7 linked regions of the Macaca mulatta genome follow. The protein of the gene in region 4 binds, or shares a complex with, the protein of the main gene of each other region. Links are inferred from orthologs where the notes say so. Each region holds a gene or a part of one and is shown on either strand. Other genes may lie near its edges. The genes, in order: MED20, MED13, CDK8, MED12, MED31, MED8 and MED21.

What was found.
Region 1: MED12 (region 4) and MED20 share a complex: the UniProt entries of both Homo sapiens proteins name them as parts of the mediator complex. The link is inferred for Macaca mulatta from reciprocal best matches to the Homo sapiens genes MED12 and MED20.
Region 2: the proteins of MED12 (region 4) and MED13 are in contact, whole or in part, in a cryo-EM structure (PDB 8TQC), measured with the Homo sapiens proteins. The link is inferred for Macaca mulatta from reciprocal best matches to the Homo sapiens genes MED12 and MED13. Residues at the interface, in NP_005111.2 of Homo sapiens: Ala3, Phe4, Arg12, Pro13, Arg16, Leu86, Thr123, Thr127, Thr150, Pro152, Val153, Met154, Arg155, Phe242, Pro278, Leu281, Arg282, Arg356, Pro357, Phe360, Gly361, Cys364, Gln367, Thr368, Cys372, Pro407, Glu408, Phe413, Val417, Lys1526; in NP_005112.2 of Homo sapiens: Ser157, Glu158, Thr336, Val337, Pro339, Gln340, Ser341, Gln343, Lys344, Trp345, Lys347, Phe348, Asp1186, Ile1189, Leu1190, Gln1193, Asp1194, Pro1332, Ile1333, Thr1335, Leu1337, Tyr1340, Asp1341, Tyr1342, Asp1343, Tyr1344, Leu1345, Val1346, Leu1347, Ser1348.
Region 3: the proteins of MED12 (region 4) and CDK8 are in contact, whole or in part, in a cryo-EM structure (PDB 8TQ2), measured with the Homo sapiens proteins. The link is inferred for Macaca mulatta from reciprocal best matches to the Homo sapiens genes MED12 and CDK8. Residues at the interface, in NP_005111.2 of Homo sapiens: Pro26, Gln27, Gln31, Glu33, Asp34, Leu36, Asn40, Val41, Lys42, Gln43, Gly44, Phe45, Asn47; in NP_001251.1 of Homo sapiens: His143, Ala144, Trp146, Phe180, Asn181, Ser182, Pro183, Pro186, Ala208, Arg209, His210, Thr212, Lys213, Met273, Pro274, Pro320.
Region 5: MED12 (region 4) and MED31 share a complex: the UniProt entries of both Homo sapiens proteins name them as parts of the mediator complex. The link is inferred for Macaca mulatta from reciprocal best matches to the Homo sapiens genes MED12 and MED31.
Region 6: MED12 (region 4) and MED8 share a complex: the UniProt entries of both Homo sapiens proteins name them as parts of the mediator complex. The link is inferred for Macaca mulatta from reciprocal best matches to the Homo sapiens genes MED12 and MED8.
Region 7: MED12 (region 4) and MED21 share a complex: the UniProt entries of both Homo sapiens proteins name them as parts of the mediator complex. The link is inferred for Macaca mulatta from reciprocal best matches to the Homo sapiens genes MED12 and MED21.

The regions. Positions count from the first base shown.
Region 1 is NC_133409.1:140,256,730-140,260,851, forward strand, and holds part of MED20 (mediator of RNA polymerase II transcription subunit 20), read left to right. Parts: intron 1-1,378; coding exon 1,379-1,533; intron 1,534-4,122. UniProt on the Homo sapiens protein: Component of the Mediator complex, a coactivator involved in the regulated transcription of nearly all RNA polymerase II-dependent genes.
Region 2 is NC_133421.1:49,804,512-49,809,263, reverse strand, and holds the start of MED13 (mediator of RNA polymerase II transcription subunit 13), read left to right. Parts: upstream 1-1,751; 5' UTR 1,752-1,884; coding exon 1,885-1,950; intron 1,951-3,795; coding exon 3,796-4,030; intron 4,031-4,752. UniProt on the Homo sapiens protein: Component of the Mediator complex, a coactivator involved in the regulated transcription of nearly all RNA polymerase II-dependent genes.
Region 3 is NC_133422.1:6,508,982-6,513,103, reverse strand, and holds part of CDK8 (cyclin-dependent kinase 8), read right to left. Parts: intron 2,059-4,122; coding exon 1,915-2,058; intron 1-1,914.
Region 4 is NC_133426.1:77,600,405-77,604,438, reverse strand, and holds part of MED12 (mediator of RNA polymerase II transcription subunit 12), read right to left. Parts: intron 3,654-4,034; coding exon 3,279-3,653; intron 3,056-3,278; coding exon 2,905-3,055; intron 2,748-2,904; coding exon 2,542-2,747; intron 2,379-2,541; coding exon 2,301-2,378; intron 2,211-2,300; coding exon 1,993-2,210; intron 1-1,992. UniProt on the Homo sapiens protein: Component of the Mediator complex, a coactivator involved in the regulated transcription of nearly all RNA polymerase II-dependent genes.
Region 5 is NC_133421.1:8,125,438-8,128,935, forward strand, and holds the end of MED31 (mediator of RNA polymerase II transcription subunit 31), read right to left. Parts: exon of another isoform or gene 3,497-3,498; intron 3,477-3,496; exon of another isoform or gene 1,841-3,476; coding exon 1,648-1,840; 3' UTR 937-1,647; downstream 1-936. Other genes in the region: TXNDC17 (thioredoxin domain-containing protein 17), read left to right, coding at 148-216. UniProt on the Homo sapiens protein: Component of the Mediator complex, a coactivator involved in the regulated transcription of nearly all RNA polymerase II-dependent genes.
Region 6 is NC_133406.1:197,278,998-197,283,119, reverse strand, and holds part of MED8 (mediator of RNA polymerase II transcription subunit 8), read right to left. Parts: intron 2,224-4,122; coding exon of another isoform or gene 2,197-2,223; exon of another isoform or gene 2,127-2,196; intron 2,020-2,126; exon of another isoform or gene 2,011-2,019; 5' UTR 1,996-2,010; coding exon 1,990-1,995; exon of another isoform or gene 1,480-1,989; intron 658-1,479; coding exon 539-657; intron 1-538. Other genes in the region: KICSTOR complex protein SZT2, read left to right, coding at 2,197-2,223. UniProt on the Homo sapiens protein: Component of the Mediator complex, a coactivator involved in the regulated transcription of nearly all RNA polymerase II-dependent genes.
Region 7 is NC_133416.1:29,388,426-29,393,151, reverse strand, and holds the start of MED21 (mediator of RNA polymerase II transcription subunit 21), read right to left. Parts: upstream 3,179-4,726; 5' UTR 3,146-3,178; coding exon 3,104-3,145; intron 1-3,103. UniProt on the Homo sapiens protein: Component of the Mediator complex, a coactivator involved in the regulated transcription of nearly all RNA polymerase II-dependent genes.

The sequences.
Region 1 (4,122 bases), on a different chromosome or scaffold from region 4:
GTTTCACCATGTTGGCTAGGCTAGTCTTGAACTTCTGACCTCAAGTGATCCTCCCACCTCGGCCTTCCAAAGTGCTGGGATTACAGGTGTGAGCCACAGTGCCCGGCAGTTTCCTTATTTGTAACAAGTTGATAAATAACATCTTCATAGGACTATTGTGAGGATTTGGAGTGTTAATTCATCTAAAGGCCTTAGGACGCAGACTGGCACGTTGTTGGTTGGCAATTGTTACCTACCACTCTAAAGGGGAAGCCACCATATGAGGTTCACTCACCATAGGAGGAAACCTTGGAAATGTTTTTTTTGTTTTGTTTTGTTCCATTGTTTTGATTCAATTTTTGTGAATACTGTTGCCTCTCATTCCCGAAGATTATAAACTTGAAGGCTGCTTTTTTTCTGTTCCTAGGGCTGTTGACTAGAACTTTCTGTGATGATGGAAATGTTCTCTAACAGCAGTGTCCAATACACTAGCCCCAGCCACCTGTGGCTCTGGGCTACTGTGCTGAACAGCTCCACAGAGTTGGTAAAAACGTGTAAACCCAAACTGAGACTTTGTCCTTGATGTAGTCAGAACTGAAAGAGTTGCAAAAGGAATCCCTTTTTCATTATATAACTCAGCATTATTGAATGCTCAGCCTGTGTGCCATTTAGAATCTTCGGCATGCCACACTTGAGAATGTCCCATGATAGGAAGTTCATTGCTCTGGTGTGAGAATCCTGAGAACTATGCTTCAGTTCTTAGAGGGGCTCTCAGGGACAGTGGTCCTCTATTCCTTGTCTTTAAAATGGGGGACTAGTCCAAGTGTAATGAGTTATCTTAATTGATTGTTCACATTCGGTTACAGATTGGACTCCTTGTTCTACTCTTCCCCATTCTAACTACTGCACTTGACTGGTCTTAACTTTTTTTTTTTTTTAAGATCGAGTCTCGCCCTGTTGCCCACACTGGAATACAATGGTGCAATCTCGGCTTACTGCGAGCTCTGCCTCCCAGGTTCAAATGATTCTCCTGCCTCAGCCTCACAAGTAGCTGGGATTACAGGCGCCCGCTACCACGCCCAGCTAAATAATTTTTGTATTTTTAATAGAGACAGGGTTTCACCATGTTGGCCATTCTTGTCTTGAACTCCTGACCTCGTGATCCGCCCACTTTGACCTCCCAAAGTGCTGGGATTGCAGGCATGAGCCACCATGCCTGGCCAAAAAAAATTTTTTTTTAAATTTATAATAAAGTTGCAGGGGTTGGGAGACGGTCAGAGTAGGTAATTTCCAAGATAACTTTTGGCCCTGACGAGCTGTGATGCTGTGGGCGAGTGAGTGGCTCAGTGAGCACATGTGTGTCTCTGGATAACTGACAATTTGGTGCTCTCCTTTCCAGTGTGTCCCAGATGCCTGTGGCTGAGGGCAAGAGTGTTCAGCAAACCGTAGAGCTCCTTACCCGGAAATTGGAGATGCTTGGGGCAGAGAAGCAAGGAACATTTTGTGTGGACTGTGAGACTTACCATACGGCTGCATCTACCCTTGGCAGCCAAGGTCAGTGACATGGGTCTGTAGGATGGCTGGAACGAGGGTTGGAGTTAATAGACATTTGTATTAATTGAAGTATTTCTGCTTTTCTGCTAAGGGTGGTGTTCTTTTTTTTTTTGAGACGGAGTCTCGCTCTGTCGCCCAGCCCAGGCTGGAGTGCAGTGGCGCGATCTCGGCTCACTGCAAGCTCCGCCTCCCGGGTTCACGCCATTCTCCTGCCTCAGCCTCCCAAGTAGCTGGGACTACAGGCGCCCACAACCGCGCCCGGCTAATTTTTTGTAATTTTTAGTAGAGACGGGGTTTCACCGTGGTCTCGATCTCCTGACCTTGTGATCCGCCCGCCTCGGCCTCCCAAAGTGCTGGGATTACAGGCGTGAGCCACCGCGCCCGGCTAGGGTGGTGTTCTTAAACATGTGGCGAGATGTGTTTCTGAATTCATTAATTATTGGTTCTTTATTTCTTAGAATAGGGCCTTTGAAAGCTTTATTTTATTTTATTTTATTTTATTTTATTTTATTTTATTTTATTTATTTTGTTGAGACAGGGTCTTACTCTGTCGCCCAGGCTGGAGTGCAGTGGCATGATCACAGCTCACTGACTGCAGCCTCGACCCCCTGGGCTCAAGTGATCCTTCCACCTTGGCCTCCTGACTTGGCCTCCTGAGTAGCTGACACGACAGGCATGAGCCACCACACCTGGCTAATATTTTAAATTTTTTGTAGAGACAGGGTCTCCCTATGTTGACCAGGCTGGTTTTGAATTCCTGGCCTGAAGGGACTATCCGGCCTCAGCTTCCCAAAGTATTGGGATTATAGGTATGAGCCGCCACTCCTGGCTAAAGCTTTATTGAGGTATAGTTGATATACAAGCAGTTGCACACATCTAATGCATACATCTTAATGAGTTTGGATATATGCATACACCTATGATATCATCACCACAACCAAGGTACTAAACATATCTGTTACATCCCAAAATTTCTTTGTGTGTGTGTGTGTGTTTTTTTTTTTTAAGAGATAGAGTCTTGCTTTGTTGTCCAGGCTGGAGTGCTTTGGTGTCTCATAGCTCACTGCAGCCTCAAACTCCTGGGGTCAGGTGATCCTCCCACCTTAGCCTCCTGAGTAGCTGAAACTACTGGCATGTGCCACCATGCCTGGCTGATTTTTTCACGTTTGGGTGGGGTCATGGGAGTGTCTTACTATGCTGCCCAAGTTCGTCTCAAACTCCCAGTCACAAGACATCCTTCCACCTTAGCTTCTCAAGTAGCTGGTATCAAACTCCTGAGCTCAGGGGATCCACCAGCAAGGGCCTCCCGAAGTGCTGAGATGACAGGCATGAGCCACCATGTCTGGCCCTTGTGTTCCTTGAGTGCTTTTTGTTTTGTGCAGTTTGAACTCTAAAAGCAATGTTTCTCAGAGGGTTAATCACTGACTAACCACATCAGAATCACCTGGGATACTTGTTAGAGTTGCAGATTCCTGGCCTTGTTTACTGATTGACTGCTGCTGTAGGCCACGTAATCTACATTTAATAATCCAGACAATCCTTATGCACTCTGAAATTTGAGAAAGACTTGTTTTAGGCCCAGAAGTCTTTGTTTATGATTCTTTTAGAGCTTTAGGGCTTCTAGAAGTTTCTTTTTATAGAGTTCCTGTTTTCCTACACCTAACCATTGGCATTGACCTCCTCATTAGCATAAATCAATTGTTCTTTTTAGTGGATTGAGTGATGAGATGGGGTGTGGATGATGGGGGATGGTGGTTGGGAGGGAGAGAGGATTTTTTTTTTTTTTCTTTTTAGAGTGAGGGTCTCACTTTGTTGCCCAACTGTACAGTGGCATGATCACAGCTCACTGCAAGCTCTTAACTCCTGGGCTCAGGCAATGAGAGACTCTTTGGATATGAGTTAGGGAACTTGTTTCTCTTAGTCTTGGCTCTGCAGTAACTTGACCTTGAACAGTTCCATAACACTGTGGTTATCACTGGGGAGCCAGAGCCCTGAGTCCTGGCTTTGCCACATTCTAACTGTGTACCTGTAGGTAACTCCAACAACCTATCTGTTACTATTTCCACGCCTCTCATGTACCTGTTTCCCTTAGATCCATTTCCTGCACTTCCCCTGTAAGCTGTATTTTCCAGGCCCTCTCCTAGTTAGCTTTGGTTATTGAGAGGCACCAGAGAAGATTAGAGGATGGGAGAAAGGAAGCCCACAGTGTTCCTCTCCCTCTGCTTTGGGCAGTGTCTCTAGCCGTGGCTGTGTCTTCACTTCCTTGGTTCTAGCTTCTGCTAGGCAGCCCTCATTCCTGCCTCTGATAACAGCACATATTTTCTTTTCCCTTTAGCCTTAAGAATGGTAGTAGCTTCCTGTGTTGCTAATCTTTGGGTTGTCCCACCATCCTGTTTGGTTTTTCCTTTCTTCCAACCCGTGTATTTGTTCCCCGTATACATTTCTTCTACCAAAACTATCTGACATGGGCTCTGTTTTTGGACTCTTCCCCAATACACTTCTGTCATCTATAAAATGAAGATAATCATAGTATTTCTCTCCTCATGTTGTGCTAAATAAGTTAATACATGCAAAGCATGTAGAACTGAG
Region 2 (4,752 bases), on a different chromosome or scaffold from region 4:
CATTCCGTGGCTGAAGAAGTGACATGGAAGACTCTACCATTCAGTTTACAGATACAATTATGTATCTATAACACATAATACATAATTATGTATCTGTAATAGTTACATAAAATTACAGTAAGTCCTAACTCACCGATATTTCTAACTTCTGAATCATCTTTTCTTCTTCTGTCTTGCAATCCTAAAACCGTCAGAGAAACTGTTTTGAACTCTTATATTGAAGTGTAACCCATCCAAGCACTGGGTGTTTTATGGGAAAGAGAATGAACCTTTTGTTTGGTTCTTACTTCTTACCACCCACTCATTTGTAAATATACAAATATGAAGCACCTACTGTGTGCTAGGTATCTTTTTTTAGGCACTAGAGAGACAGAAGTAAACAACAACAAAAACGTAGTGAGACCTTTACATACACTAGTTCTCCTGCTTCTCACAATAACTGTATGAGGTAACGATGACAACAATAATAGTTAACTCTTAACAGTGCTTATCTGTGCAGGGCCCTGGGCTACCTGCTTAATTTGCATTAACTCATTACAATAAGCTTGTGGGGTAAGGGGCATGTTTTCCCCGTTTTACAGACGAGGAAACAAGACACAGGGCAGAAAGTGATTTGCTCAAGCTTGGAACCCAGGGAGTGTGGCTCTAATTCCCAGTCTATTAACTACAGGGCAATATTTTGTTTCTTAAGTTTCTATCTTCATATCACAACTTTTAGGTGGTGGAGTCTCGTCCCCATCCAGATCGTCTGACTCCCAAATCCAGAGGTTTGCGCCTGCACCCCAGCGGCCTCGCGAAATAAATGAGAATGTCTTGGAATTTTTGTCAATACTTTCTCTTCCAAAGAACTCAAACTGATTTCCACGTAATTCCCATTGATTTGTGAAATGAACCTTCCTGGACTGTAAATTTCCCCGCAAAGACAGGGCCAGGGCCACGGGTCATTTTACACTGGCCAGGGCACCCAGCAGGTGGCGCTATGTTAGTGGCTACCAGCTGGCTGCCCAGTCCCCGGGGCTCACCGCCTCGGCCGAAAGCTTCCCGGCCCTCCCTCGCTCACTTCTCTCTCCCCCTCCCCACGGAGCCCGGGCCCACGTGACCTCAAGGCGGCCAATGGGTGAGCAGAGAGGGCGAGCTGGTCCCTGTGGCCGCCATTAAAGCGAAGGGAAAACCCGTGAATTCGGATTAAAGGGGGAAAAACACCGCCCGCTGGGCCCACAAAATGGGGGAGACTACGGCGTCCAGCCGGTGAGGCCGCAGGAGGGCAGACGTTAGGCCGGCTCGGCCCAGGGACGACACGAAGACAGAGCCAGAGAATGGTCTGAGCCCGCAGACGCCGCCACCACCTCCGCCGCTGAGGAGACTCTGGGCTTAAGGACATCGCCGCTGCCGGGCCGGGGGCCTGGGCTTCTCTCCCGGTTCTCGCCCTTCCCGCCCCTGTGTGGGCGCCTCCCCGCCCGGGAGAACCTTCCAGGGCTTGGGCTCTGCCGTCTCGGACTCGTTTTTGATTATTTATTGTGTAATTTATTATTTTTCTTGTGGTAGGGGCACACATCCCCTCCGTCTCCCAGAGAAGGACGAGCGTCTGCGGGCTCCGCAGTCCGGCCCGCCAGGCGAGCGCGGCGCGGCCCTCCCGCCTCCGGCCCTCGGCCCCGGGCGGCTGGGTGCCGGCCGGGCGGCGGGGGCTGCTCGCGGCGGCGGCAGCGGCGGCGGCGGGGGGGTGGGTGGGGAGGGCGGGCGGCCCGGCGGCCTCCTCTTCCACCGCCCCCCCAACCACTACCCCCCCCACGCCCTCCCCGGTGTCTGTGTTTCTCTCTCTGGTCGGAGGCGGCGGTAATGGCGGATGGTGGGTTGTGGCGCCGGCGGCGGCTGCTGTGAGGGACGATGAGTGCCTCCTTCGTGCCGAACGGGGCCAGCCTGGAAGATTGTCACTGTAACCTCTTCTGCCTGGTGAGTGCCGGGGCCGGCGGGCGCCGAGGGAGGGGGGCCGTGAGGTGCGCCCTTGGGCCGTGGGGGAGGGGGCCGGGTCTGGTCCAGATGCCCGAGTCCCCGGGCGAGGCCCAGCCGGAGCCGGCGCCCTGCGAAGCTCCGCGGCCAACCCCGGGAGACTGCGTTCGCTCTCCCACGGTCCCGGGCCCTGTTTGGGGAGTGTTGGCATTTTTTCTCGTCTTCTTTCGGACTCTCCTCTTCACCGTAGTCTCGTCCTCAACTTGAGCTCCTTATCTGGCAGGACAGTAACCTTTCTCTCTCTCTTAACTGTTGCTTTTCTGCTTATTGGCCTTGTATCCCAGCTTCACACTTTCCATTATTGCCCCTGCTCCCCACCGCCTTTATGTCTCATCCTTTTAATTTGGTTTCCCCATGTAAACAGGACCCCAGAACTTATGCCCCAGAAACCTGTCTTCGTTTTACATTTTTTTTGTATGAGTCAAACTAACGCAAGGTTAGTTTCTTCCTTGGGTGACTTAAGATCTCTCTGTAAAAACCAGTAGGTGCCATTTCATATGTTTTCTTTTTAAACTTTGAAAACAGTTTGCCATTTTTGACAATTTCTAGCCATCTTGCTTTTATTAGAACATAATTTTTTTTGTGCGAGTGAAGGGGGCTAATGGACGAGGTGCTGTGGTTTTGCACTGTTTCTATATTTATTGTGTTTTGCTTGCTTTTTCAGAATGTTTTGAGCAGGCTGCTCCCTTGTTTGATTGAAATGAAAAGTCCAGAGAAGCTGGGTGTAGGGATGACCATTGTGTAGGTTAGCCCAGGTCTGGTAACATCCAACAGTTGAGACTTTCAAAAGTACCAACTGTTGCAAATAACTTGGCCTGTGTGGGACAGTAGCTGAGCTTCATCAATGACTTTAAGTTTGGGTGACTTTATTTTTTCATTTTCTCCTTTGTGCTATGAGAAATATTAAGAGTATATGATAGGTAATAAGTGAGTTAAGTGGGCGGAGCACAACTAGTTGGCAAGTGTAAACTGCCAGTCATGTATCAGCAGTTTCATTTTTGGCACCTTATGCTTTGCACCTTTAAGTTAGATTAAATTATTGAATTCCTCTTGAATTTCTTTCTGGATGCTAAATTGAGATCTTTCATACTCTATCCTCTTCTACAGTATGTTTTTCTTTTCAATGTCCATTAATCAGCATCTCTTCACGTATAATACGACATACACCAGGTTTTGTATTCTATCTTATCCAACTCAGTCTATTTTTGATACTTTTAGGATCAGGCTCTTTGAAGATAGACTAGCACAAATCTGACAGTTCTTTGTGAGCAGCTATTTGACTTTTCCGACAGGGGTATGTGTGAAGAATTAACATAGATTTTTTTCAGGACTTGTTCAGATGTCTTTTCATTAGAGACATTACTTCTGTAAATGTGGAATAAAAACTCGTGATAGGGTCTTTAATAATTGATTTTCAGTTAAACGTTTGACACCAATGAATAAATGTGACCATTTAGGACAGAGAAAAATGTACTCTGTTTGTATATTGAAGTGTGTGTGTCTGTCTATATTTAACTTCATTCAGTTTCTTTTATTTCTACTTGGAGTACATATTTGCTTGCTATTCAGTGACATGGTGGTATTTATTTTTAACTGTGTTCTTCTCCCTAAAATTGTTGGTTGTTGAATTATAAAGTCATTTTTTTTTTGGTTCTAATTTGCATTCAATAGCTCAAGCATATATTGAAAAATTGTAATGTCTTAACGAAATAGGAGACATCGTATGGAGTACTTTTGTGAATATGAGTGAATATGCAATAATAAAACATCATGCTTTCTTTTCTTCAGGCTGACTTGACGGGAATTAAATGGAAAAAATATGTATGGCAAGGCCCAACTTCTGCCCCTATTCTGTTTCCTGTGACAGAAGAAGACCCCATTTTGAGCAGTTTTAGTCGCTGCCTTAAGGCAGATGTACTTGGTGTTTGGCGGCGAGATCAAAGACCTGGAAGAAGAGAATTGTGGATATTTTGGTGGGGTGAAGACCCCAATTTTGCTGACCTTATTCACCATGACTTATCAGGTGAAAGAAACTTTCCATTTCTAATTAATGATACAGCAACATTGTATACTTCTCCCAGAATATCATTTGTATTACAAAGTAAGTTTGTTTTTGTGGGACACTTAGGTAGGAGGCCAGATAAAAATTGAGCTTCATGTTTTATTTCACCATGATTATTTTATTTTACTCAAATTATCCATGTTATAGCTGGGTTTTTTAGGCTTGAATGACTTTCTCCTTTTACCACCTCTCTTCTTAATTTCTCACGGGTAGTTAGGGTCCAAGGAAGGCATGCCACATTAATCTCAAAAAATGGAATCAGGAAACAGAGTTCCTAACAAAGTCATGTAATAGTTTTGAAGCCAGATGTAACTTTTGAGTCACTTCAGCCACTGTCAAAGTTGAGTCTTTTGCATTAAATGGGCAGATGATTCTAAAAGTACTGGAAATGTAACTATCCTTGTGTTTGTGTGTGTGTGTGCGCGCATGTTTTAAGGTATGTAAGTATTTTGTTACTGTCATTTGTGCTGTTTGATTAACATATGAAGGCATATGTTAATTTAGTTATTTTTGGAAAGTGACTCATATACTGTTCTGTCACATACTCAATAAGAGACAAGTGCCAACTTGTTTAGCTTTTATAGGACATGGGATCATAATCTAAAAGGTTACACAAACAATTTTATTATGAGCAAATCAATGTGATTACTTCCTTATTTTCTTGACTTTTAGGACCAAATGCT
Region 3 (4,122 bases), on a different chromosome or scaffold from region 4:
CACCTTGAGTATTTTTATTTATTTATTTTTTTGGAGACGGAGTTTTGCTCTTGTTAACAGCCCAGGCTGGAGTGCAATGGTGCGATCTCGGCTCACCCCAACCTCCGCCTCCCGGGTTCAAGCGATTCTTCTGCCTCAGCCTCCCGAGTAGCTGGGATTACAGGCATGCGCCACCATGCCCAGCTAATTTTGTATTTTTACTAGAGACAGGGTTTCTCCATGTTGGTCAGGCTGGTCTCAAACTCCCAACCTTAGGTGATCCGCCCACCTCGGCCTCCCAAAACCTTTAGCTTTTAAATGGCCTTCAGAGGCTTGCTTTTCTTTGAACTTACTTGTAAAAATATTTGGCAACTATCTTCCAAAGATATCACATATTGGAAACTAAACATACACTTACACTCCTAAATGGAATTTTCTCCTTAACTATTTCCTTGCTCCAATTTCTCTATCTTATCGACTTCTCAAGCTAGAAATCTTAAGATAATCTTTTAGTTTTCCCTTGCTTATACACTTCCTATAAAACATTTCCATCTGCCCTTTTTTCTCCATCCTTATTATCACTCTCACTTTATGTCTGCAGCACTGCTACAGCTGGTTTCTGATTTCGCTTACCTCTTTTTAACTGAGTTTTACCTACCACCACCTTACTAATCTTTCTAAAATGTAGCATAAATCATGTCTCTAGTACTGAAGAACTTATCATGGATTCTCATTCTTTAGCTATCAAATCTAACCTCTGCTGCCTGCTTTCCAAGCTTCCTTATAAACCACCCTAACCTCTGAAACACACATTAAGAGTTGCTGATAGATGTCCTCACTCCATATATTCCCTCACAGAAGCTATGCCTTTCTCATGGGCTCAGAAATGGTGGACACATTCAGAAGCAGGAAGAAAAGAGAATTCTTCTGTCTCTACTCAAACCACACCTATTTTTTAAACATTCTACATATAGCAGTACAATGTAAACTCCAAGAGGGCGATAATCCTGTCTGTTACATCATCAGTAACTTTTTACTTAAGACAGTGCCTGGCACATGGCAGGTACTTAATAAATATTCACTGAATAAATAAAATTCCTATCACAACAGAGGTCTTCTTCAAACCGGTGACCAATTTTGGAGAAAGGCAGTATCTGTGTAGTTATTCTGCATTTACTGATAATTAACACCCTTACAAGGGAATGTAGAATTAAAAGTCTCAGGTATTATCTCTATTAGTCTTCAGTTAAGTACTTGACTAGCCAAAATTTAGGTGTTCTAAACAAATTCTCATTATTCTGGACCTCTGAGCAGTTTCTGGTGATCACTGTTCTGTAGTATAACTAGGGATTGAGATACAGTTGGAGAGATCTAATGCCAGGGATGGGATACATGTAAACCACCTCTGTGTTGCAAAACAGCAGGCCAACTCACCACAGAGTACTACGAGTCACTCACATTGTGACTGTTCTGAGAAGACGTAAATGCTATTATTCAATATAATGTGATTCTGTATAGTGCCCTAAATAGAAATAAGGCTCAAAATAGTGGCAGTATTATATGTGCTGCTAGAAAAAAATTTCTACTACTGAATTCATTTATAGTTTCCACTATAAATGAACTAAGGTACCTTTCTAATACAGATATTGCAAATATTTTATCATTTCACATATCAAACAACAAAACAAAAAAGCAAAACAAGATGAAACAAAAATACAGTCCTTAAATTCAGGAAAACCATAAATATGTTCATGACAATATGTAAACTCTACAAATTTTGCTGTTTCTACAGATCTTTGATAAATGCAAGTCAAAAAGCAAAGACTCGAGTCAAGAGTAGCTTCCATCAGCTAAAAATATATACCTCTCCAATGAAGACATCTAAATTCAAACAACAGTGATTTAAAAACAAAAACAAAAACGAATAATGTGTACCTGCAGGAAATCCCATTACATTGAATATTCTGTCCAGCTGGTCATGGTGATAAGGATTACTAGTTTTGATGTCCTCTTGTCGACAGTGAAATATTGGTTCTGACGTTAGTAGTTCTGCAAATATACACCCTATAGCCCAAATATCTTTAAAACAAAAAGAAAAAAAAAAAAAAAGAAAAAAAGGCAAGGAAAAAAGAAAAAGAAAGGTGGAAAATAAAGTGGTTCTTTCCAAAAGAAAATGCAATTTTATTTTCTTGGGGAGTGTCTTCTTTCTTTCTTTCCCTAATAACTCATATTAATTCCTAAGCAATTATAATTACTAAATACCACGAAACATTATTGTAAGTATATATTCCCATGCCATCCACCCCAATTTTTCATTTTGTATACCTCCACATCACCCAAATGGTTTCACTCTAAGCCCAATTAAATGTACTGGCTGGATTTTGGTAAGTTTTCAATGTCCCAGATGATACCTTTTCTGTGAACTACAGTAAAGCTGCATATGGAGCATGGAACTACAACCAAAGCAAACCAAACAAAAACAAACGGAAAATCCAAACAGTATTTGAAATTGGGCACTGGCCTAACACAATCGGCATAAATTCTTGTGATAAACTATTTTTTATTTACTTGCTAATTTGCAAAGTCTAATAATTACCCTCTCATGTTAGCACTAATGAGTAAGGTGGTATTCCACCAAGAGACAATGCCCAACCTCAAAAAGTCTAAGAACTAACAGCATTTCTACTTTAACAAAGTTTTTCTTTCAAAGTGGTTCTTGATGCCATAAGCAGTGTCAGATTTTGCAAATTTAATATTTAATACGTAGGACAGGAAACAAAAGCAAAATATTACTGTTAACGTGGATTATAAATTCGGCTGGGTGTGGTGGCTCATGCCTGTAATCCCAGCACTTTGGGAGGCTGAGGCGGATGGATCACGAGGTCAGCAAATCAAGACCAGCCTGGCCAACATGGTTAAACCCCATCTCTACTAAAAATACAAAAATTAGCCGGGCATGGTGGCATGTGGCTATAGTCCCAGCTATTCGGGAGCCTGAGGCAGGAGAACTGCTTGAACCGGGAGGCAGAGGCTGCAGTGAGCCGAGATCACGCCACTGCACCCTAGCCTGGGCGACAAAGCAAGACTCTGTCTCAAAAAAAAAGCGGGGGGTTATAAATTCAAATGAATTATTGACAAAAGCCAGGCAAATGGGTTTCTCTGTACACAACAAAGTGAATTCCTTTCATTCACAAGATACAGATTTACTTTCATTCATATTAACTTTGTACTCAAAAGAACTATTAGTAGAGGTAAGATCTATTTGCCAATTTAGAATTTAAAGCTGAAAATATTTCATTTCTACTCTTAACAAATCCTACACTAAGTACAGTGGTGTGCATATAGCAGACCCTCAACATATAGTTTTTGACTGACCTAACCAATACCTGTGACAAATATAAATAACCAAAGGGGACAAATAAAAATTACTGTTTTATTAAAGCTGATTGTTCAGATATGTTAATAACTGTCACTTAAACAGGAAATAAGGAAAAAAACCTAAAATGAGAATTCCTAAATTCCAAAACTGGAAGAGATATTTAATTCAATATAAAATTACACACATTTACATTTCAAAGTAACAAATTAATCATCTATTTACTTAAAGATTCACACTGACTGCAGCAAGTGATTTTAAAAAATGACATCATATTTACATATCAGACAACCAAGCCTAGCCAATATCACCATATGGAAAAGTCTCATCAAGAAACATAGGCCAACCTATTTTGTTTTTGGCATCAAAAGGTATATGGGGAAATTATTTTGTGATTATTCTTTTTATATGGGTACCCCCTATAGATCTAACCTTCGATAATCAACAGCCACATAGGCAGCTAAGTAGGATCATAAAAAGATGATGGATAGCTTTGCATGTTTAAAATTCTACCAGCACACCCAATAAACACAGTAACAATTCATCTGGTTATTAAAAACTCCAAAGAAGAAAATAAAATATGTAAAGGAAGATGAAAGGTAAGTAATTTAGCCATAATTAAAGCTATACTGCTCTTAGCTGAGCATACTGGCATATGCCTGTAGTCCCAGCTACTCAGGAGGCTGAGGCGGGAGGATTGCTTGAGCCCAGGAGTTTGATTCCAGCCTGGACAACATAACAAGACCCCATTTCACAGGAAAAATGTA
Region 4 (4,034 bases):
GTCTACTGGCCAGGCTCCCTGTCTCAAGTCTTCTTTTTTCTTTTTGAGACAGAGTCTCACTCTGTCGCCCAGGTGGGAGTGCAATGATGCAATCTCGGCTCACTGCAACCTCCACCTCTCAGGTTCAAGCAATTCTCCTGCCTCAGCCTCCCGAGTAGCTGGAATTACAGGCGCATGCCACCACACCCAGATAATTTTTGTATTTTTAGTAGAGACGGGATTTCACCACGTTGACCAGGCTGATCTCAAACTCCTGACCTTAGGTCATCTGCCCACCTGGGCCTCCCAAAGTCCTGGGATTACAGGCATGAGCCACCACGCCCAGCCTGAAGTCTTCTTCTTGCACCTCCCAGTACACATGCTATCCATTCATTCCAAGGAGTCTTGCAACATACCCAACTCCTCCTATCACTCTTCTGATCAAAAGAGTCCTTACTGGGACTGTGTCTCAATTCTTCAGCTGAGCATTCAAGGCCATCTCTCAGCCTGCCCCCTCCTAGCCTAGCCCCAGTGACTTCCCCAGCACAGATTTTACACTCCATCCAGGCCCTTCTCCCCAGACACCATCCTCATTCTTGTCCCCATGTCTTTGTTCATGTTACATCCTCTACCTGGAATGCCCTTTCCTCTTCTCCACAAATCCTAATCACAGCTATTCTTCAAAGGCCAACTCAAGTCTGACCTCCTTCATGAAACATTCTCTGATGAGTCAGGCCCACAGATACTACCCCATACTTTTTCTCAATCCGCATTTTACCTCATAGCATACAACTGCATACCTGATTATATCTTTGCTCAGAGTGTTCTCTCAATGTTCTTCTGTAAGTCTCATCTCCCCAGCTATAGTAAAGATTCTTTGTAGTGAGGAACTATGCATTTTGGGGTTTTTTGCTATCTTTCTTCACCTCACCCAGTCCTGGTATAGTGCTGGCCACACAATGGGCAGTTAGTCCACTCCCCAGTGTTCTTAATCCCAAGCTTTGGAGTCTCTAAACATGGTTACAAGGCCTGAACTAAGGCTTGACTAACATTAACCATGGTGGGAGGATTCATTCATTAATCCATCCTGGTATTCAACCTGGTATTTAAAGCCGGTACTGGCTTTAGGACTCCTTATCATGTAGTTCATCTATGAACTCCAGATATTTTTTTTTTCTTTTTCTTTTTTTTTTTTTTGAGACAGTGTCTCACTCTGTCACCACTGCAGTGCAATGGCGCAATCAATCTTGGCTCATTGTGCGATTACAGCTCACTGCAGCCTCAAACTCCCAGGCTCAAACAATCCTCCCACCTCAGCCTCCTGAGTAGCTGGGACTACAGGCATGCACCACCATGCCCAGCTAATTAAAAAAAAATTTTTTTTGGCCAGGTGTGGTGGCTCAGTTCAAGACCAGCCTGGGCAACATGGCGAAACCCCATCTCAACTAAAAATCCAAAAAATTAGCTGGGCGTGGTGGTGTGTACCTGTAGTTCCAGCTACTTGGGAGGCCGAGGTAGGAGGGTCACCTGAGCCTGGGAGGTCGAGGCTGCAGTGAGCCATGATCATGCCACGACACTCCAGCCTGGGCAACTGGAGTGAGACTCTGTTTCAAAAAAATATGTTTTTTTTTTTTTTTTAGAGATGGGATCTCCCTATGTTGCCCAGGCTGGCCTCGAATTCCTGGACTCAACTGATTCTCCCACCTTGGGCCCCCAAGTGCTGGGACTACCAGTGTGAGCTACCACACAGCCCAGATTTTTCCATGAGTCAGATAAACAATTTCCCCTCTCTGGGCCTCAAAGAACTGTTAAGGAAGTACACATGAAACTATTGGTCTCCAGGGTCCCTTCCAGCTCGAGACTTCTGTGGTTATGGGCTATGTGGCCAGATAAGTATTCTTGACGTCTCCAAAAGTTCTGACCAGTCCCATCACCTTCAGGCACGGGCTTTCCCAAGTCAAATGCTCCCTTATACCTCTGCATCTCTTCCTAGCTCACCACTACTTTGGGTACCTTTGAGTGGAGGTCAGTCCATGTCCATAGGTGGGGGCCTGCTGGTGCACATAGCCACTGGGCCGCTGTTGCAGGTGGCGGGTAGGATCTACAAGAGTAGGATTGGTAGAAGGGTGGGTGCTCTGGTAAGGCTGGCTGGAGTAGCTGGGGGGCACCATGGTACCTGCAGGGCCTGTGTGTTGCTGCAATCCCACATGAGAAACATAAGGAGTATAGCCCTGGAGGGAAGGAGGAGAGAGGGAATCAGGGCTGAGAGTATGCAAAGCAGCTTGCCTCATCCCCCGAGTCTCACAATCCCAGGCTCTTACCTGGGAAGTCTGCAAACCGTAGGAAGAGCTGGGAGTCATCTGATGGACAGATGACTGTCCCAACATGCCCTGACTCTGCTAAAGGGAGAGAAGAGAACAACTCAAACTCAGGAAATGCTTGCTGCCATCTCATCTCTTGTGTCTCCTGCTCTGAGTGTCCTTGTGAAGATCCCGTGTCTCCTCAGTCCTGTGACCCTCAAAAGCCCCTCTCCCTGACAGCCCTCCCTACTGCCCCTCTCACTATCTTTGCCTGGAGCTGTTGGCGAAGGCGCTGTCCTTGGGGCACCGCAGGTTGCTGCTGCCGGTACACAGAGGTCTTATAAGAGGAGGGTTCTAGGCCCATGACGCCAGTCATGGTTGTGGGCAGCACTCCAGGGTAAGTCGGTCGGGTGGGCAGCTTCTGCATTGGTAAGCGCACAGGGCGGTACGGGTCCACACGAGGGCCACCTGGAAAGGAGAGTGGGCTGACCTCTAGGTTCCTCATCCCTCTGTCTCTTGCTCAGTGTCCTTGACATCCATAGCTCCTCAGGGGAACGGCATCACCCTTTGGGCAGGGGGAGTATACACCTAGGTCCCTCCAGCATTCCTAGTGGCTGGCACTCACCTGCAGGTAGTGGCTGGTTCTGGGTGTACAGGCCTATGGAGCCTTGCCTGTAATTAAGGTGGGTTATGGAACCAGGGTTTGGGTGGTGCAGGAGGTCTGGAGGCACTGTCACACCATAAGGGCCGCTCCGACCCGGGCCCATTCCATAGTCCTGTGTGAGTGACAGAAGAAGAGGGTGAGTGGGTTGTAGCTGAGTGGGGTCGGGGAGCTGGGGGAGAATGAGGTAAAGAGGAGCTGGATTTGTACATGGTTAATTTTTATTATGATTCTAATGGCACCCCTTCCTTATGCGCCCCCACCCCTCCCACAAACCAGAAACTGGAGCGTCATGAAGTAAGAGGCTGTGGGAGAACTGTCACGGGGGAGACGCTCACCTCTGTCTTGGCAGCTGGCTGGCTGCGTTTCTTGCCCTTGGTGGACTTCTTCTTGCGTTCCTCAGTACTGGGTGGAGCAGCCCCCGGTTTGTCAGTTTTGGGGGGCTCTGGAGCCTTTTTCTCAGGCTCTAGCAGGGTAGGAGCAGGGGGCTCCTCATCTTCTGGGGGCAGTGGCAGCGGCTCCAGGTAATAGGCGCGGGGCCGGGGCCTCAGGTGTGTGTGGTAGAGCAGCAACCGCTGCTGCTCCTCTCCTCGAGCCACTCGCCGGTCCACCCGCACTGTTCCAAACCAGCCCCAAGACAGCGGTGCTGACGGCTTCAACCCCTCAAAAAGATCCCAGGGCGAGATCTTCTGTTTGGTGGAAACCTGTAGACCCTGCTCCAGAAAATGAAAAACAATAAGCTGTTGGGACTTAGAAAACACAAGAGAGACCGCAAGCACTTGTAGGAGTGGGTAGAAAGTCATAGGTAGATTCAAGAGAGATGGTAAGAAACAGACAGACACGGATACACACATACATGCAGAAGAGTTATGCGGGGAGAGAGTGAAGGGTGGGGGACAGGGAGAGGTATGGAGACGCAAGATGAAGCCAGCCAGGACCAGGAGAGGAGACGAATGAACGGGGCGGGCGGCGGGCGTGTGGGGAGAGAAGCCGAGACCGGGAGAGAAAGGGGTTGGGGAGAAAGCCAGAGAGGAAGTGGGGAGGGAGAGGGATTGACATTCAGAGGCAGACAGAAAAAGGAAGGCAGAGAAAGA
Region 5 (3,498 bases), on a different chromosome or scaffold from region 4:
TTTCATAAAACTTGTTATAACTAGTTGATAGTTTCTGAATTGCATAATTTCTGTGTTCAAAGATTAGTGTCATTCAAGGCAGAACCTATTCCACTCCTAATAACGTTTTATAGGAGTAGTGAAGATTTGACTGTTCTTCTCTTACAGCCTCAAAAACTGGTAGAATCTGAGTGTCTTCAGGCCAACCTGGTGGAAATGTTGTTCTCTGAAGATTAAGATTTTATGATGGCAATCATGTCTTGATTTCCTGATTTGTTCTAGTATCAATAAACTGTATATTGCTTTGAATACATGTTAGCAATAAATGAGGTTAAAAAACTGGCATGTGTCTAAACAGTAGGGTGCTATTAAAATGCCCATGAACCTTTAGTTTGCCTGTAATATATGGATATTTTTAAGATATAAACAAGTCTTCAGAAGTAGCAGTAAAGGCTCAAAGGAATGTATCATTGAAGGTGACGGAAATACCTAAAAACTCCTAAAGGCGCAGAGCACACCTTCCAAATCTTTCAAAAGATCAGGATCTTTTATTTTAAATTCTCTGCATCTGCAAAGCAACTGATAGTCCTGAAACCCCTTCTTTGATTTTGGAACGTAGAACCTAACCTCACCACTGAGGGAAGCATATTACCTCTAATCCAGCCTCTGCTTAATTCAGGCAGTTTTGTTTTGTTCATGAAAAAACCGACCCTGAGCACTAGAGGCAGTTCGTTTTGTGGCTTCTCTCAACGTGCTTTACTTGGGATTAGGCAGGTGGCGGCGAGGGGCTGGAGAGACTGTGTAACCCAGTGGTGGGAAGAACTCCAAGCTGGAGTCAGTCACACTGATTCTACCACTTACTAGCTGTGTAACCACAGGCAAGTTACCCGCCCCATCCAAACCTCAGTTTTCTCTTCTGTAAACAAGGTTCTGAGAATAAAATGAGAATTCAAGGAAGCACTTAACATAGCACCTGGTATGTGGTACCTCCCAAATCAATGTTAGTTTTCCCAAATGAGCACAAGTATTTGAGGCTCCTCATGTTTGTTCTAAAGTCAAGAGTCCAATTAGTAATTAACCACTAGTTGTCCTGCCATGACTAGGTCAAATGAGGCCACAGTGATTCTTAAAGCCACCTTGCAAAGCAGGTAATACAGGGATTTCCTGTCCTGCAGAATTTGAGAACCTTTATGCAGTTCCTATCCTGTGATTTAAAGAGGTCACTGACTCCGCTACTCTCACTACATAGATAAGAGTGGTAGAGTAGTTGATCTGAGAGACAGTAAGGTTCCAGGAGATGGCCTTGCGCTACTATATGTCAGGAAGAGCTAGCCTTAGAATTCAGTATACTTGGTGGCCCACCCCTACCCCATGCCCCAGTGCCTCATTTGGTCTAAAGCACCTAACTTTTCCATTCTTAATCAGCTGATTATGCTAAATGCATACAAAAGAAAACACCTTACAAATCCACAGGGAAATCAAAGTAGACCAATTCAGGTTTAAAAGAAATAGTCTATTAACAATAAAAAGTTGGATTAAAAAGCACACTAAAGGTTCTAGGGGCTACCATAATAAAGGTAGATAGGAAGAGTTTTCATTTTTTGTCTTCACTGTACAAAAGAAATACATTATATACATGTATTGAGAGCCTCATCTGTATCCGGTTTTTCATTTTCCCGATGTGTTATTTTGCTGTTGCTGCTCTGCCAAGGCTTGCTGAAGGCGCATCCGCTTCCGGGAATAGTGCTGCCAATGTAGAATCTGCTGTTCATCAATGAATTTCGCACACTGAGCATTCACCAGCTCCTTTCGGAAGTGTTCGTATTGGAGCAGCTCTAACATGTGTAAACACTGAGGGTACCTGGGTTTAAGTTTATAAGTAAATGAACAACATAATTTAAGTAAATAATGCCAAGGTCTAATTAAGTTATTCTCTTAAAAATGATCTTGTAGCCTACCATTTCTTTAACTTAGTACACACTGGCAGCATAGGGTGTTTTCCCTGATTGGTCATCAAAGGTCAGTGTTCAGCAATATTTTCGAAAGTGAGAAGGTTTAAGTTCAGAAAGATTAAATTTAAACTTGCTCAGGACCACACAACACAGTAACTGGTAAGCAGAGTGAAAATGTAGGGACAAACCATGCTATTCCCTTCTAGTGGTTTCCAACGTGAAGAACATGAACATATTTTACTAATTCTGTGTTTAATTGATAGTTCTTTGTTTTTCCATCAATAGTGATAAAAAGACAACTTTCATTTAAAAGTGAGTTGGTTTGAAAGAGAACTATGCACATACATTATACTCTTCTTGTCCACAGGGATATACCAACTCTGAAATTAGATATACTCTAGGATTGGACAAGTAAATATACTGTGGATAAGGACAGCCAAATTTCGACAAGGAAAGGAAAAAGGCTAGAATGAATCCTGTGTTACTGAGCTGGTATTGAAAACATTAGTATGTACTTAGGGCTTTTAATATAGGTAGACAGGATAAACAGATGTATACATGTGTGCATGGATACACATACAAACATAGAGTTCTTGAGCTTTGTGTACTGAGAGGGCCTAGAAGCAATGACACTGTGGTACTAATGAACACACAATGTCCAGATTGTGGTATCCAAGGAGCAGGTTTCCTTGGAGAAAAGGGTGATTCAGGGATAAGAGAGGGAAAGTACAAGATGAGCCTGGAACATTACGTAGTGCCAGAAGAAAAAGTGCTAAAAATTATTGGGACGATCAAAAGTATTCAGGAACCAACTTGAAGGGACTCCCAATGGCCAAATCTAGAATACTCAGAGCAAGAAAATACATAATTCTAATTCACAGGATAAAATACTAAATGGATGTAAATTTCTTTAATAAAATAATAAATAGAAAACAAGGGAATGTACTGCCTTACAATCGAATTCCAAACTAATAAATGCAGAATGACAGAATTCGAAAATCACCACAGTAAAAAATGTTTCAAACAAATATCTTCAAAAGATGCTAAAATGGGCATGTAATATGATATTTACATAGTCTCAAAGGATTTCCCCATAAGATACTTATTAAATACATAAGGAAAAATAGTAACTTAATATGGAGAAACCTAGAAGGTACCACCCTCAACCAAGTTATCAAAATTAATGTCACCAGTAGTGGGACAAATAGACTTCATGTGACTGCAGATACATGAAGGATACAAAATCATTTCTGTCACAGTCATGGAAAAGAAAAGACCACTGAGATGAAAGGAGACTAAGATGTGACAGCAAAATGCAACATACAGGCCTAGACTGGATCCTGTACTACATACAGCACCCCAGCAGGACAACAGGCCTAGACTAAAGCCCATACTACATACAGCACCCCAGCAGGACAACAGGCCTAGACTAAAGCCCATACTACATACAGCACCCCAGCAGGACAACAGCCTAGATTGGATCCTGTACTACATACAGCACCCCAGCAGGACAACAGGCCTGGACTAAAGCCCATACTACATACAGCACCCCAGCAGGACAACAGGC
Region 6 (4,122 bases), on a different chromosome or scaffold from region 4:
CCCTATGACTAGCCTAAGTGGGAAGAAACTAACAAGGATGACAGGGTTATGAAAGAGGGACATAGTTTCAGTTTATGAAACAGATGTAGAAAAAATCCAGTTCATTGTTTGAATGAGGTGAGGAACAGTGGCAAAATAGGACTATACTGTTATAACTAAAACTTCAGAAACCCGGTAAAATCCTTCTTTCCAGCCTGGAAATAGGATCCACACTTCAGAGTAGGTTGGATCTAAAGGACTCAGCCATATTTGTGGCAAGAGATCCAGCACAAATAGAGCTGTAATAGGAGGACCTCCTCACCAGAGAAGTCAAAGGGTAAGAATTGAAAGCTATAATGAACTTGGGTTAGGAAACCGAGCATTTCTCTACTTCCTTGCCATGGAAGCCACTTGCTAAATGTTACGAAACCCAGCTCTTTCCAAATCAAAAGATGTTTGTAAACTGATAAATGGTTACATCATTAGAAGTGTCCTATTCATCAGAAGGCTAGGCCCCCCCACCCATAAGCCCTCCCTAGCTTGCCCTGGCAACCCTTACCAGGTCAGCCGGCCATACTCGTTCTCCAACTTGCAAATGAAACTTCCCAGTGAGTTCTTCAGATCAGCCACTTGACTCAGCAGTGCATCTAATGATGCCTCAAGCTGCTTCTCCTCTCTCTGCACCAATAGGAACAGGTTGGTTACCCAGATAAACGAGTATGACACATAGAAAGGAGGGCTGAAAAGCCAAGGAGATGGTGTGCAAACACCAGTCAGGTAACAGGATCTCATTGGCATAGGATAACCAGGTTGTTTCCTATCTGTGGTATTTGGGTTATAGACAGCATCAACCCTGAGACCTTTCAACCGTTTGCCTGACCCAAGTACTTCCACCAACTGATTCCTTTTTCCCATCCGCTCCTAATCTATGCCTGGTTTTTCTCTGTATTAGGTACACCCTACACTCCCTCATTGAGACATTTTCGACAAACCTAATGCCAGATCATTATCTCATGTGCACCTCTGTAGCACATGCACTCCAGCTTCCTCCATCCTAGCATTTGTGAGCCTGGCTCTCTTGTCAGTCTCTGGGAAATCTGCCTACTCATGAAGACTTCTCTGAATACCAGCCCTGCTCTCCTCTTTCCCTCCCCCCACCAACCACTCCAGCTTTCCATCTGCTCTCATCATTTCATGTTTCAACCTTCTCCTCGCTGAATTAATATGCACCCATCTATCTCTGTGTCAATATTCCCGTGCCTCTTTCACAAGCTCGGTCAACCCAATAACATTTCTTGAGACTACCAGCTGCAGGAAACTAAGTGACAAATGAAAACCAAAACCGCACATGCTTCTAAGCACTGAACAAACAAATTAAAATGCCGGGGGTCTGCAAAGCATTTCCTTCCCATCGGTGGTATCCTGTTTTATTCCATTTCTTCACCCTTAACAACTATAGGGCACAGGCTGGGAAGAGTGATGCAAAACTGTCTTGCAAACCTGCTAAGGTGCCTGACAGGAACTTGATCCTGGGTTCCACCATGGCCTCACATTACAAGCTGCTTAGCTTTCGGACACCGCGGCCCACAATTCCCTCACTGCTTGGGCTTCTTTCCAATTAGATCCCCTGCTATATCGGCATCCAACAGCCTCCATCCAGCAGCTTAGGACAGGGCCTGAGCCAACCCACCACCTCCTGAGCCGTCTTCCTTGGACTGCATCTCGGCCTCCCCGTATTACAACCTAATCCTTTCCCACGCCAAGCAAGTCAGTGCTGCCTCCTCCCTCCGGATTTAGCCCGACCGCCTTCTGTCAGGCGAGCTCCACCCCCACCTCTCATCTGCGCCGCTCCCTCTCCAATTAACCTCGCCCCCCAACCCACGTTCCCTTATCAGCCGTGGGTTCTGCCCTCTCTTCTCAGTCCCAACTCTTCATTCTCCTTAGCCAGCCCACTCTGGCTCCCTGTAGCCGAAGCTGGCCAGCCGCTAGCACTCCCAACGCGGCTCTCACCTGCATTGCGGCGGCCGAGGCGACTGCAACGATTTCCACTTCCGGTTTCCTGTCAGCAAACGCCTCTGAGAAGGCTTCGTCCACCAATCAGAAAACTGGAACTCGGCCCTCCCACCCACTTCCTGTTCCTTCCGGGTGCCGAGGTAGCCAGGTCAGGGGTCAAGAGTGGAACACACAGGCCCGGGCCGGCGCGGGAGGGCTTGTGTGATGGCCTCGGAGCGCCCCGAGCCGGAGGTGAGGGGCGGGCGGACGCAGCACTGGGCCCTGAGATCCGAGGGGGAGGGTCCGGCGGGCAGGCGTGGCGTTGGCCTCCTCTGGGTCTGGGGGTGGCCGGGCTGCGTAGCCTCGGCAGGGACCAGCCCAGCCCGGAAGGCCCGACTATGGTACCCCTGCGGACTATGGGACGCGGTCTGCAGTTTCCTCGGGGAGCTAAAGGAGTAACTCTTTTTGCTTTGTTTTGTTTACTGACGTGTCATCCGCGTCGTCAACTCTTTGACCTAATGATAGTGGTATTAACAAAATTTGTATTTTGACTTTCTGTTGCAGTTTCAATGGGCAACACGGCAGTAGATTTAGTTTGCCGGGTTTTGTATTTCTTTAGGCATTGGAATGCTGTAAACAGCATGAATTCATTTAGTTCTAGGGCCCATGCTTTTAGAAAAGCAGCTTTAATTTCATGAAAAAAACATTTGAGTCGGACTGAGACCTCGCTCCAATATTGGCGCTGTCATGTAGCTAATCTGTGCAAGCTCAAGCGAGTCTTCCCCGATCCTGTTTCCTTCTTTATAAAATGGTCTTACAGTGTGTTGTAAGGATCACATGTAATAAACCAGAAAGGGGATATGAGATATTCATTAGATGCTAAGGAACATGCAAGGAACCTTATATACATTGTGTCATTCAGACTTCTGCAAGGAAGATGGCGTTCTCACAGAGGAGAAAACTGAAAAATGAGAAAGATTTAGTACCTTACTCAAATGCCACTCATCCAGGAAGTAGCAATTTGGAGTTAGAAGATCTGAGCTTAAAATCTCAGATTTGGATAAAACACCACCACTAGGAAAGGTGCCAGTATATTAGTAGGTGGAAAGGGTGAGAGATGTGTATAATGATACAAATAGTATTCATTACTGCATACATACTGCATGCTTGGCACCATTCTAAGCGCTTTACCAGTATCAATTCTGTCAGCCCTATGAAGTGGACACTGTTATCTCCTTTTTTTTGGTTTAGGAACTGAGGCACAGAGATATTAAGAGTAACAAAGTAGGCTGGGCGCAGTGGCTCACACCTGTAATCCCAACACTTTGGGAGGCCAAGGGGCGGATCACCTAAGGTCAGGAGTTCGAGACCAGCCTGACCAATATGGAGACAGCCTGTCTATACCAAAAATACAAAATTAGCTGGGCATGGTGGCGCAGGCCTGTAATCCCAGCTACTCAAGAGGCTGAGGCAGAAGAATCGCTTGAACCGGGAAGGTAGAGGTTGCGATGAGCTGAGATCAGGCCATTGTACTACAGCCTGGGCAACAAGAGTGAAACTCTGTCTCAAAAAAAAAAAAAAAAAAAAAAAAGTAACAAAGTTACACAGCTGTTAAATATTATAATCAGGACTCCAAAACAGATGGCCAGGCTCCAGTCCTTGTGTTCTTAACCATATTGTTCATAGTATAAATAATAAAGTAGCCACAGAATGGTAAATCTCCTGTTCACTGGGATTTGGTGTGATAAGACCCAATGTTGAATATGGTGGTGGGAAACCATGCCTTTTTTAAAATAGTCATGTTCACAGAGGTGGTAAAATAGCCCATGCATCAGAAATATCAGTCAAGATCAATCAGAAATATTAATACAAGAAAAACTATGAAACAGTTTAGAGGATGTTTCATTAGAAAGTGAAAGGACGTGGAGGGATGTTGTGGGGAAATACAACCTACCTTTTAGGCAGATAGTCTAGAACGACACCGTCCTGTAGAAATCTGAAGCAAGCCATGTGTGTAATATTAGGTTTTCTGATAACCACATAAAAAAATAAATGAAATAAATTTTAAAGATATATTTAACCCAAACTCCCAACATTTTCAAAATGTAATAAAATACAAAATATTGTGAGATATTTAACATTTTTTTGGTA
Region 7 (4,726 bases), on a different chromosome or scaffold from region 4:
ACCCTGATAAAAACATTTGAGCTTACTCCACCACTGTCTTCAAGGTAAATCTCCAACTCAGGCTGTTTTGAAGCTTTCAACAATCTAAGTCAACTCTACTGACTTGTTTTCCACTACTCCTTCATATTTACCTAACTAGTCATAAAGTCACTTATGACTAAATGGCTTTGCCCAGGTTTTAATAATAGTAATGGAGCAGTAAGTGCTCAGACGCTATACAAACGTAGATCCCAGCTCTATTAACCCAGGTAGCATTTTTCATTTTTAAATTGGATACATTCTCCTATTACAGCATTGTTGTGAGGAAGAGGAAATACACAAAATATTCAACACAGTGTCTATCTGTTCCATCCTTCAAAAACTTTTAGGCCAGGCGCGGTGGCTCAAGCCTGTAATCCCAGCACTTTGGGAGGCCCAGATGGGCGGATCACGAGGTCAGGAGATCGAAACCATCCTGGCTAACACGGTGAAATCCCGTCTCTACTAAAAAATACAAAAAACTAGCCGGGCGAGGTGGCGGGCGTCTGTAGTCCCAGCTACTGGGGAGGCTGAGGCAGGAGAATGGCTGAGGCAGGCGAGTGGCGTAAACTCGGGAGGCGGAGCTTGCAGTGAGCTGAGATCCGGCCACTGCACTCCAGCCTGGGCGACACAGAGAGACTCCGTCTCAAAAAAAAAAAAAAAAAAACTTTTAAGATCCATTTAGTCAACAAAACTTTATGGAAAATAACTATGACAAGTACTACATTTAAACACTATAGAGACATAGTGAATGCGACATAGCTTCTGCACTCATGGTTTTCAGAGGGTAGAACAAATGTTAAAAGTTATACAAATCTGATTAGGATAAATGCTAAGAAGATTCCCTCTATTTTGGTTCACATCACTCCATATTCCAATTTACTTCAGAACCTAAAGCTGAAAATACTCAATTCATTATAACTCCCTAACCACATACTGTTTTTCCATCACTTAAATGTCTCCTGAGTATATGACATTTTTTTAACCTCCTTAAGGAGTATCTCTTTGCAAACATGATAGTGCTTATACACAGTAGGCACTCATACTAGTTATCCTAAAGGCTTTTCTCCAAAATCCAATTATCAGCATGCCTAACCTGGAGTTAAGGCCATATTCACTCTGTCCTTACTATCCTTCTAGTTACAAGACATGTATGAATATGCAAAAGTTTCCCTAAAATAAGATTTCTATCCAGCAGCATCATTACAATTTGATTTTGTAAAATCTCAAAGGAGTAGTTCCCTGAGGAAGGCTGACTGGCAGCTCAGGCAAGTCCCTGCAGGGCAGAATTTATCTTGGTGAATTCAACATTTAGAAGCTGGTCCTCTCAGCCTTAAAAACTAGTGTTATTCACCCAGGGTAGATCAGTTTATCACAAGTAGATTCACACTCTTCAAGTGTACAAAGCCTGATGTATTAAGAAAAATGCCAAGTTATTAGCTTACAGTGAGGAAAAAAAACTGGCAAAGAAACCAGGTACTTAGGTTTTCCTCTCAGCATGTTTTCTCTCTAGCCCCTCATCTAGGACGTTAAATCACAATCAGACAATGAGAAACATAACTATCAATGGAAAACTATTTAACAGAAAACTATGTAACTGGTAATGGTAATAAGTATACCCATTGCAGCAAGAGAATACCCACTGACGTCTTGGTCAACGGGATGCATATATTATGTCGGTCCCCTATGGTTATAACAACGCTGAAAAATTCTTACTGCCTAGTGACATCATAGCGGTCTGTGCTTGTGGTGACGCTGCTGTAAAGCAACCTACGGCACTGCCAGTGTATGAAAGTCTAGCACATACAATTAAGTACAGTCCATGATACTTGATAATGATACTAAATGACTTTGTTACTGGTTTATGTATTTACTGTTTCCTCGTTATTATACATTGTACTTCTACTTATTAAAAAAAAAAGTTATCGCCGAAACCATGCATTTCTCAGAACATAACCCCTTCATTAAGGGCCCATGACTGTATGCGCATCCTCTGGCTTTGCTTCTGCTTTCCACTCAGGCATAGCTTGGAGGAAAAATTACCAGAAGGAACAAAGCTGGGGAGCTACCTACAAGACTTGGCCTTTAATAGAGCGTAGAATTTGGGGGAGACGTTAAAAAAGACTTGTAAGCCGGGCACGGTGGCTCACACCTGTAATCCCAGCACTCTGGCAGGCCGAGGCGGGAGAATCGCTTGAGGCCGGGAGTTCGAGACCAGCCTGGGCAACATGGTGAAACCCCGTCTCTACTAAAAATAGAAAAATCAGCCGGGCGTGGTGGAGGGCGCCTGTAATCCCAGCTACTTGTTTGGCGGAGGCGGAGGGTGCAGTGAGCCGAGATGGCACCACTGTACTCCAGCCTGGGCGACAGACACAGTCTCCAAAGTAAAAAAAAAAAAAAAAAAAAAGGAAAGAAAAGAAAAAAGAAAGACTCAAATAAACGGAAAGACATACGAGAATCAGAAGATTTCCTATCATAAAGATGTCCCCAAACTGATGCATTCTGAGGGGTGGCCAAGAGACAAGAGATGGAAGGAGGCTCTGGGCCCACAGGAAGGAGCGAAGATGAAAGAAAATCTCTCACCTCAGCGTCGCTCCGCACCAACCTGAAAGCGCTGGTGAAGGAATACTCTCGGCTGGCATTTCATTACAAAAACCCAGTCATCCACAGCACGAGATCTCCCTTGGTGGATTCAAATTGATGAGGAAAGAAAAGAGCTCCTGCTTCTCCTCCCAACCCCCAAAAGAGATCCCGTAAGCACCGCTGCCAAGAAAATAAAACTGTCCTCAGGGAATACGACAGGACCGCGCAGCCGACAAGTCTTGGCGGCCCCACCCGGACAAGAGCAATCTTCCCGGTCTCCTCAAGCGAAAGAGGCTGCTCCCTCCCGCACCTTCAAGCACCGCCCGGCAGCCGGCCTCACACCTCCGAGTTCGCGGTGGCGCCTCCCGAGAGAGCGCTTTATGCCGAAGCCCTGTTTCTCAGTCCGCTTTCCACTTCCAAGTTTTGCCTCTTGGGCCCCTTTTCTCCCTTGCTTTACCTCAGGAAAGAGAAAGACAGAGGCTAATCGAATGAAATTCCTCACCGAATTCACAGCGTCTTGAAGCTGCGTGAGCCGATCCGCCATGTTCTTCCTGCAGCAAACAGACGCCAAAACAGCTGCTCTTCCGCGACTGGGCAGCTCTGGTACGCGTCATGGCCAATCCCAGCGCTGCCTTCTTGGAAGGGGTGGGGTCGGAGAGAACTCCCCGCCCCGTCAGGAGTGGGTGGTACTGCCGAGGCGGCCTTAGAGCGGGCTACACCAGAGGAGAGGCTGGATCTTTTGAGTAACTGGGGAGCGGCCTGGGGTCCATCGCTTTGAGGGGCTGAAATACTCTCTTTGAGGTTGTTAGGTGTTAAAGGCTTCAGAGATTGTTGGATTCAGCGGGGATTTTTTTTTTTTTAGTGATTTCTCCTATCCTCTCATGTGTTTACTTATTGACTACATTGAAGAGTAGATATATTTATTTATTTTGAGACGGAGTCTGGCTCTGTCGCCTAGGCTGGAGTGCAGTGGCGCGATCTTGGCTCACTGCCAGCTCCGTCTCCCGGGTTCACGCCATTGTCCTGCCTCAGCCTCCCGAGTAGCTGGGACTTTAGGCGCCGCCACCACGCCCGGCTAAATTTTTTTTTTTTTTTTTTTTTTTTTTTTTTTTGTAGTAGAGACGGGGTTTCACCATGTTAGCCAGGATGGTCTCCGTCTCCTGACCTCGTGATCCGCCCTCCTTGGCCTCCCAAAGTGCTGTGATTACAGGCATGAGCCACCGCGCCCGGCCAAGAAAAATCAGCTGCACAATTTAGATTTAGAGTTGGGACTTATTGAGAGATTAAGTGTGAAGAGTGATAATAGAAACTTGGTATTTAAGGAAATTTAGCCTGAGGATAGTCTGGTAAGAAATGAGTTTGGAGTCGGCAAATAACAGGTTTGGAGACATCAAACAAACTCTCATATCCTCTTTCTCAGGTTGATTATCCGTGATTACCTTCCTGCGGCTGCGGGGTAGGTGGTGGACACAGTCCCCGGGGAACTCAGCTTGCTGGATTTATCCCAACCCTTGCTGGGAAGCACCACTTCTGCTTCACACCCATGCCCCACCCTCATCCCCAAACAGTCTACAGACTTACTGGGGCCTCATTAAGAACGTGGATGAGGCATGCTCCCCATAATGGAACTAATGAGAAATCACTCCATAATTTGTTCTAACTGTAACTTGGGGGAATCTACAACCTTTTCCTCCCACCTTCACTTGAGCGTGTACCTTACTGAATGCCTGCCACATGCCAGGAAGTATATCCAGTGCTCAGTGTGCAAAGATGAATAAGCCAAGGACTCACCAAGAGGAAGGTTTTGCAGTTGTCCAAGATTAAGGTGAGCTGGGCCTAGAATAGGGTGTTGGTTGACCCTGATAAGAGAGGAAAAAAAGACTAAAATATATTTTTGAGAAAAATAATTAATACGGATTGGTGACTGATTGAATACAGTTTAGTCCACTCCGTAAGGATACTAAGTTTTGCAGCGTGATTGAAGGGAACTTGGGCACTTGAAGTAGAGAAGTCACTTCAAGACAACTCATATTGTGACACAGTTTTTGTCCTGCCACTATCTTCCTAGTAGGTCTTCCGTGCCTCCACAGAGACCTCAGGTTGATGTCCAACTATCTCTGCCTAG